Linked DNA regions of Ovis aries. The protein of the gene in region 1 interacts with the protein of each later gene in a pairwise test. Links are inferred from orthologs where the notes say so. Each region holds a gene or a part of one and is shown on either strand. Other genes may lie near its edges. The genes, in order: FOXR1 and PPCDC.

What was found.
Region 2: the proteins of FOXR1 (region 1) and PPCDC interact in binary tests that used the Homo sapiens proteins (3 or more experiments, as listed by UniProt). The two-hybrid records come from large-scale screens. The link is inferred for Ovis aries from reciprocal best matches to the Homo sapiens genes FOXR1 and PPCDC.

The regions. Positions count from the first base shown.
Region 1 is NC_056068.1:29,288,107-29,292,018, reverse strand, and holds the start of FOXR1 (forkhead box protein R1), read right to left. Parts: upstream 2,461-3,912; 5' UTR 2,331-2,460; coding exon 2,270-2,330; intron 1-2,269. UniProt on the Homo sapiens protein: Transcription factor which acts as both an activator and a repressor.
Region 2 is NC_056071.1:31,351,734-31,355,645, reverse strand, and holds the start of PPCDC (phosphopantothenoylcysteine decarboxylase), read left to right. Parts: upstream 1-1,194; 5' UTR 1,195-1,256; exon of another isoform or gene 1,257-1,348; intron 1,349-3,912. UniProt on the Homo sapiens protein: Catalyzes the decarboxylation of the cysteine moiety of 4-phosphopantothenoylcysteine to form 4'-phosphopantotheine and this reaction forms part of the biosynthesis of coenzyme A.

The DNA.
Region 1 (3,912 bases):
AACTCTTGTCTGGATTACTACTATAACTTCCTATAGAGTTTCCTGGTTCCCAGTCTCTCTACACTTCAACCAGCAGCCACAATGATCTTTTCAGACTATAGATCATTCAGGATAAGCTGTGTAATTTGCAAGTGAAAATGAAGTCACTCAGTCATGTCTCATGACTCTTTGCAACCCCATGGACTGCAGCCTACCAGGCTCCTCCATCCATGGGATTTTCCAGGCAAGAATACTGGAATAGGGTGCCATTGCCTTCTCCAGGAGATCTTCACGACCCAGGGTTTGAACCCGGGTTTCCTACATTGTAGGTAGATGCTTTACCGTCTGAGCCACCAGGGAAGTCAAATGTGGGGTTCCTTGTTCAAAAATTATTAAAAATCTTGACAGTGATAGCAGGACATTAAACCCAGTATAAACACCCTGTGTAATGGCACAGGTCACTCACTATATTGGCAATCAGGTCACTCCACTGTTCTAAACCTTTCAACGGTACTAAATCTTACTGCTGCTACTGCTAAGTAGCTCCAGTTGTGTCCGACTCTGTGCGACCCTATAGACAGCAGCCCACCAGGCTCCCCTGTCCCTGGGATTCTCCAGGCAAGAACACTGGAGTGGGCTGCCATTTCGTTCTCCAAATCTTACTGAGTCAACCCTAAGGCCCTGAGAGGGGAAGAGGGCTCTTCCTGACCTCTGCTCTATGATCCACACCCTCTGAACTCTTCTCTTTATTTACTTTGATCCAGCCTCACTAGCCTCTTTACGAGTTCCTCAAACACTCCAGGCATATTTCTTTCTGAGGGCTTTCTACACGAGCTATTTCTTCTGCTTGAGAAACTTTTCCTGTAAGTATGGTCTAGCTCACCATCTCACCTCCTTCAGTTGTGCTCAAATATGTTCCTGGGACTACCCTGGTGGTCCAGTGGTGGTCCATTGGCTAACACTTGGTGCTCCCCACGCAAGCGACCCCAGTTCAATCCCTGGTCAGGGAACTATATCCCACATGCCACGACTAATATATATAATATATATACACACATACATACACACACACACGTGTGTGTGTGTGTGTATACATATTAATATAAACTGCCTGTGTGGTCCCAGTAGAATATCAGCTCCATAAAGAGTTGTCTCTTTTGCTCATGGTGTATCAAGAGTATCCAGAACAGTGCCTGGGGAAATTGGAGGTGCTCAATTAATATTTCTCTTTTTTTTGGCCATGCCTTGTGGCATGCAGGATCTTAGTAACCAGGGATTGAACCTGGGCCCCCTGAATTGTGGAATCTTAACCACTGGACCACCAGAGAAGTCACTTGATAAGTAAATATTTCTGGAATCAAGACACAGGAATGTTCAGCATTACTCATGGTGACAAGGAGTTCCAATGGAGTTTTGTCTCCTTCAGTAAGGAAAATTAAAATACAAAAAGATAATATATGCAGATGATAGAATATCACACAGCTATCAGAAATGATGAATCAGATCTTCATTTAGCAACCCCAAATTACTCTCAAAAACATTGTGAATGGGGGGAAGCAAAGAGTATTATTGTACAAGTAAGGTTACCTATAAAAGCAAAATAATGCTAAACAGTTTTCAAAGATACATTTATCTATAAAGACATTAAATGGATTGGGAGTGTGGGAAGTGAGGAAAGAGAGTGGGGACTGAAGGAAGAAAATGAGTTAATCCAACTACTTTGCCCAAACAGATGGCAATCATATATCAAGAATGTAGTAAGCAATTACCTCAACTCTCAGCACCTGAGAACCAAACTAAAAAAAATTTTTAAGACAACGGTCAACTATCCATACAGCAAATACTGAGCGGCTCTAGGTGTCAGACGATGTATTAAGAGGGGATACGGCCACAGACAAAATTGATTTTAAAAATCTTTTAAAAGAGAAAGATGATGGAAGATCAGTAGTGTGCCCAAAGGGCCTGGGCGCCACGGAGAAAAGGCTGAAAAGAGACCTAGAAAGTTTTGCGACGGCGCCCGTGAACGAGGATGGAAAAGCAGTGTTCAGGCAGGCCCCTGCCTCCCGTGGGCTTCCAGTCGAGGATGGGGCCCCCCTCGCCTCTTGGGAAAAGCAGGGGCCGGGTAGCGGCGCCGCAAAGGGGGCAAGGAGTCCAGAATCGCAACATCGTAACGGGGCTCGTGAGGGCGGGCGGGGCGGCGAGAGCCGGAGCCCCGGCCTGGCGCGCCCGCGAGCGCCCCCTCAGCCGTCGCGGCGCGCCCACGCCCCACGCCCCCGTCCAGGACACTCACGGTTCTGTTCGGCTAAGGGCAGGTGCGACGTGGCGAAGGCCAGAAAGGACTCGTTCCCCATGTCCCAGTCCAGCAACCCCGGGACCTGGCCGTGGAGGCTGGCCCAGAAGTCGACGCGCTGCAGTTTCAGGTCCACGGTTAGGGAGAGGAGGGCCAGCCAGCTCAGGGTGGGAGAGCCGGGAGAGACTGAGGCTGAGGCCTGGGAGGCACGGTCTTAAATCCCCTGGCGCTGATTGACTTGAGTGGAGCCCGCTCAGGTGGGCCTCATTTGGCACCCTCGCCCTCTCGGGCCTACACTGAGCGCCCCCCCCACCCCCTCGCCTTCTCCACAACCCCTCCCGCTTTCACTTTGGGGTTTGGGGACCTTGGGGATTCAGAAGGGAGGGATCCCAGGCTCTCTCTCCCCTCTACATTTACCCCAAGCTCTTTTTTTATTTGGTAAATCAGTCTACCAATCAAGAATGATCCTATGATGGTATTAGTAGCTACTTTCTAGAAGTTTGGAGGATTTCATGGTTTATCCAAGATCGCATCTGTAAGTGTAAAATGGAGATGGAATTAAATGGTGGTTTTTATTATTTTGTCATTTTTTTGGAATGGTTATTCTTAAATTTTGTTTTTCATACTTTCAAACTTACAGAAAAGTCCCAAGACTGCTATAAAAATTCCAGTATACCTAAGTCCTCTAACCAATTATACCAATTATTAACGTTTTATCACATTTTTGTTTTTCTCTCTGTGTAAGACATACATTATCTTTTTCTGAACTACTCAAGAGTAATTTGCTGTCATCATGCCCCTTTACCCATAAATACTTAAGTGTGTATTTCCTGAAAACCAAGCTATTGGTTTACATAACCAGAAAATCAGAAATAAGAAAATTAAAAAACTTAACAAGGATTCAATAAAAGTGAAAGTGGCTCAATCGTGTCTGATTCTCTTTTTGTTTGTTTTGTTTTGATAGGTAAGAAGTAGATTTATTCAAATTCAGAGAGAAGCACACAGAGTGTGGGCCATCGCAGAGAGCGAGTGCAGCTGTGTCTGACTCTCTGTGACCCAGGCCAGAATACTGGAGTGGGTAGCATTCTCTTCTCCGGGGGATCTTCCCAACCCAGGGATCGAACCCAGGTCTTCTGCACTGCAGGCAGATTCTTTACCAGCTGAGCTACCAAGGAAGCCCTTATGGGTTCAATACTGTATTTAAAATATAGATCCTATTCAAATTTCACCAGTTGCTCCAATAATGTGCTTTATATGACCTTGCTTTATTATCTAGAATCCAACTCAGGATCATGCAAGGCATTTAATTTTTATGTCTCTTTAGCCTCTAATCTGGAGCAATTTCTCAGACTTAAATCTTTCATAACATTGGCATTTTGAAGAGTACAGGCCATTTATTCTGCAGAATGTCTTTTAGTTTAGGTTCCTGTTTCCTCATAACTAGATTATGTAATTTTGGCAAGAATGTCAGAGAAGAGATGCTGTTTCCTTATTAGTACATCACACCAAGAGACCCGTGATGTCAGTTTGTCTCATTATTAGTGGTATCCATTATGTTTTTCAACTGTGAAAGTACCTTTTTTTTTTTCTTCTCTTTTGTAATTAGTAAGTAATTTGTGGGGAGTTATATTAAAGTGATCTAA
Region 2 (3,912 bases), on another chromosome or scaffold:
GAAAAGAGACCCCAGGTCTAGGTTCTCCCCTTCCCTCTCTCCCTGCCCAGACCTCTGGCTCCCTCTCCCTTTCTCTCTTTGGTGACTCCAGGAGGCCTGCGGTCTCGCTGCCAGCACAGCATCCTTGACCTGTTGGATGCTCCTTCCCGTCAGCTTCCTGTCCTACCCGCCTTTGCTCTTTCCTGGCTCAGGCCTGTATGGCCACGCCCTGGCTCTGCCCTTCGGAAGACCTGCTATACCTGCGTGTGGCCCAGCTTGTCCAGGCCCTGGGATGCTGCGTCTCCAGGCATCTATGCACTTTCCTGGGGAGGGAACCGAACCAGAAGTGGGGGCTGGGCACAGGTTCATCTCTGCTGGATGGTCTGGCTTGAGGGTGGGGTGCAGGAAGGCTGAGGTTAGTTCTGGGAATCCTCAGGTCTTTGGCCAGTGACCTGCTTTTGCATTTTGCTGGTGCCCTCTGCCCCTCCTTGTTTCTGGGAAACACAGACTATTCTCCAACTGGCAGTTGAGCTGCCTGAGCCAGTGTGTCTGTCTGTGGAAACTGAGTGAACCATAATAAAGGGGAACATTTGGCCCTCTGTGTCCTGCTGTGTCGTGTGTCTTCATGAGGGCCTGTGTGGAGCCTCGCCATGGGCTGTGGGGCATGGAAGTAGGGTGGGTCCATGGGCCTGTAGCCTGTCATTCCCAGAGTTCAAAAGTCACACACTTCTGTGTAGTTCTTTCTCTGAGGCAGCCTTGAAATTGCTACAGAGTCCTTCTGCCTGTTAGGAGTTCTGAGTTTCCTGAGGAAGAGTTGAGTTCACATTGCTGCAGCTAAAGATCCCCCATGCTGCAACTAAAAGATTCCGCATGCAGCAGTTAAGGCCTGGCACAGCCAAAAATAAATGAATAAATAAAACAAAAAACATAGAAGATAGGCTCAGTAAAAGTATTAAGTACTGCAGTGATAAGCAGTGTGGGTGGGGCTGGGGGGATGAAGAGGTCAGACAACTGGCAGGCCCAGATGAACACAGGAAATACCAAGAACTTGGGAACCGGTGTTCTTGGTGGGATTCCCCGAGTGGACTACAGTTCCTGGAAGGCTGAGAAGTTGACTACAACTCCCAGAAGGCTACGCGGTCGCGGAGGCAGCCTCCGGCAGCCGTAAAGTTGCATGCCAGGCAGAATCAGCGGGAGGGGCGACCGGGATACCGCGATATTTGGGGCTGCTCCGAGACGCGCCTGGCGCGGGTGAGGAGGCTGGGGGAACCGAGGAGGCAGGTGTCTCGTGGTGGGGCAAGCAGGAGGCAGGGGAAGCTTCGTTGGCGACTTTGACCTCTTTGTGTGACCTCAGTTTCCGTGTATGTGGGTGCGTGTGTCCATTTGTGTCCTTCCTCTCCTATTGGTGCCCAAGAATCTTTGTTCGCCGCTGCGGGTCTGCTGCCGATCTCCGGTTTTCTGTGTGTGTGTGTGTGTGTGTGTGTGTGTGTGTGTGTGTGTGTAGCAGTGTGTGTGTAGGGGCTGTGGAGTCTATGGGTCCGGAGCGCTATGGACCTGTTCCCAGCTCCACCCTGAAGTGGGGCATTTATTTTTTAAAATTAATTTATTTTTAATTGAAGGATAATTTCTTTACGATATTGTGTTGGTTTCTGCCAAACAGCAGCATGAATCAGCTACAGGTATACTATGAAGTGGTGCATTTCTGTATGTGCCCTCCCGTCCTTGAGTTATGCTCTTCTGCAGTTGCCTAGGGCCCTTTAGTTTAAAAGGTGGCCCTTTAATCTAGTTTTATAAAAGGTAGCCCTATCGGTTACCTACGTTTACCTCTTGCCTTAAAGAAACAAACAAAAAAAAAACCCGAGCCTACTTTCAAAAAGGAAAGGGGATGGCCCAAGGCACAAACCATTTTACAAGTTGATACAACAGAAAAAGGAAAGCCCTGGGATATTGCACTTATCCTCTGGCACTCTAAAAGTGCTGAATGATGTTAAAAAGTGAGAGTGAGGCCAAATTTTGTCAGAGAAGAACTTCAGTGCTGCACTTTGAAGTATTGGAGGCCAGTGCCAGGTAATAGGCAGGAGAGATTCCCAAGTTGGGGAAGTGATGGGTACCTTGGAGCAGAAGTTGTCCTCATCTCTCCTAGTGGCTGAGAGGTAGCAGTTCCCAAATCACTCCCTTGTTAGTAGCCTCCGCGTGTGAATGTAATATTAATGTGTGAGTGCTAAGCTGCTTCAGTCCTGTTAGACTCTGTGCAACCCTATGGACCAGGCTTCTCTGTCCATGGGATTCTCCAGGCAAGAATACTGGAGTAGGTTGCCATGCCCTCCTCCAGGGGATCTGCCCCACCCAGGAATTGAACTTGCATGTCTCACGTCTCCTGCAAGGGCAGGGGGGTTCTTTACCACTAGTACCACCTGGGAAGCCTGAATGTAACGTGTCCCCAACTTGTGGCCTTGAGGAAGGATGCCTAACGGGGTTCCAGGAGCTGCAGAATCAAGCCTGCCTGCTTCTGGTTTGAGAGAAGAGCAGTCTTAGCAGAATGTCAAGACCTTGAGTTCTCCCTGAAGAGTTCCTTGCCTTTCCTTGAAGGAAGGGATTTAAAGTGCTCCTGCAGCTGTGCCACTGCTTTTAATGACTGGGTTTGGGGGAAGAGTGCTACTGCCAGGAGCTGCAGGTGGTACTTGGGCAGAGTTGTATTGACTGGTGGGAGATAAGTGAAGAGCATAATCTTGGGGCCAGGGGTGAGGAACTTTGATGTCAGGCCAGAGAGTCCTGGGTTCCCTGCCCACTCACCCAAATTCAGTTCTTTTTTCTGGGCCCCAGCTCCTGTTTGTGGTTGGGCTGGCCTGAAACCGCAATCTGGATTTTTTTTAAAGCCCTGGTTCTGCCCTGGCTCCACACTTGCCCGTATTGTGATTGGCAAGCATTCCGGAAACTTACTTAACTCTGCCCTAATTAAACTCTTTGAAAAGGAGACTTACACGTCACAAGGCTGCCACAAGTTGCGGCTCTTTATCTGTCTGGCCTTGTCTTTCTCAAAGGACAGAGAAACTTGTCATTTTTCTGGCTGTGGCTGCATGCATGTTGCTGCCTGCATGGCTAGCACCCCGGGAGCCTGAGGCTCAGTAATCACAGCTTTCAGCCCTTTGGCCTTTCTGCTTACCAGCTGTTTCTGCTGCTCAAGAGTTCCTGTGAGTCCAGCAGAGCTCAGGAAGATGAGGTGCTGTCTACAGATAGCTTTGAGAGTAAACATAGAGAACTCCTGCCAACTGTTGCCCTCAATGGGACTGGCAGTTTGAGCTGATTTTGACCTTGCTTTCAGATGTTGGTTAAATCATCTACTCTCCAAAGTACATATCGCCCCTCCCTCTTCTTTTCTAGAAGGATATTTAGGGTTTGGTCCTTAACAAAGATTGCTCAGCAGGCTAAGTATTAATAGGAAATCTTGGGCTGTACCACCTGCTGTGGGGAAGCAGTTGAAGTCACCAGCATGAATTCCTGCCCCAGATTTAACTGGTTGCTTTCAGTAACCTGTTCCTTAGGAATTATATCAGTTTGATGTGGTGGTGCTGGTGCTGGTGGTTTAGTCGCTAAGTCATGTCCGACTCTTGCAATCCCATGGACTGTAGCCTGCCAAGCTCCTCTGTCCATGAGATTTTGTCCATTTTCCTTCTCCAGGTGGTCTTCCTGACCCAGGGATTGAACCTGCTTCCTGCATTGCAGGCAATCTTCTGTATTGCAGGCAGATTCTTTACTGTTGAGCCACCAGGAGGAGATTTTAAATTCAGTTTCTGATTTTGCAGGAATCTCTCTTTTCCTAGGCCTGGTTGTATGCTAGGGTCAAGGGTCAAGGTTTGGGATTTGGCAGATGGGTTTTTCTGGAGAGTTGAGAATGTGCCTCCTGGATGCTGATTAGCACACAGATTAGTTCTG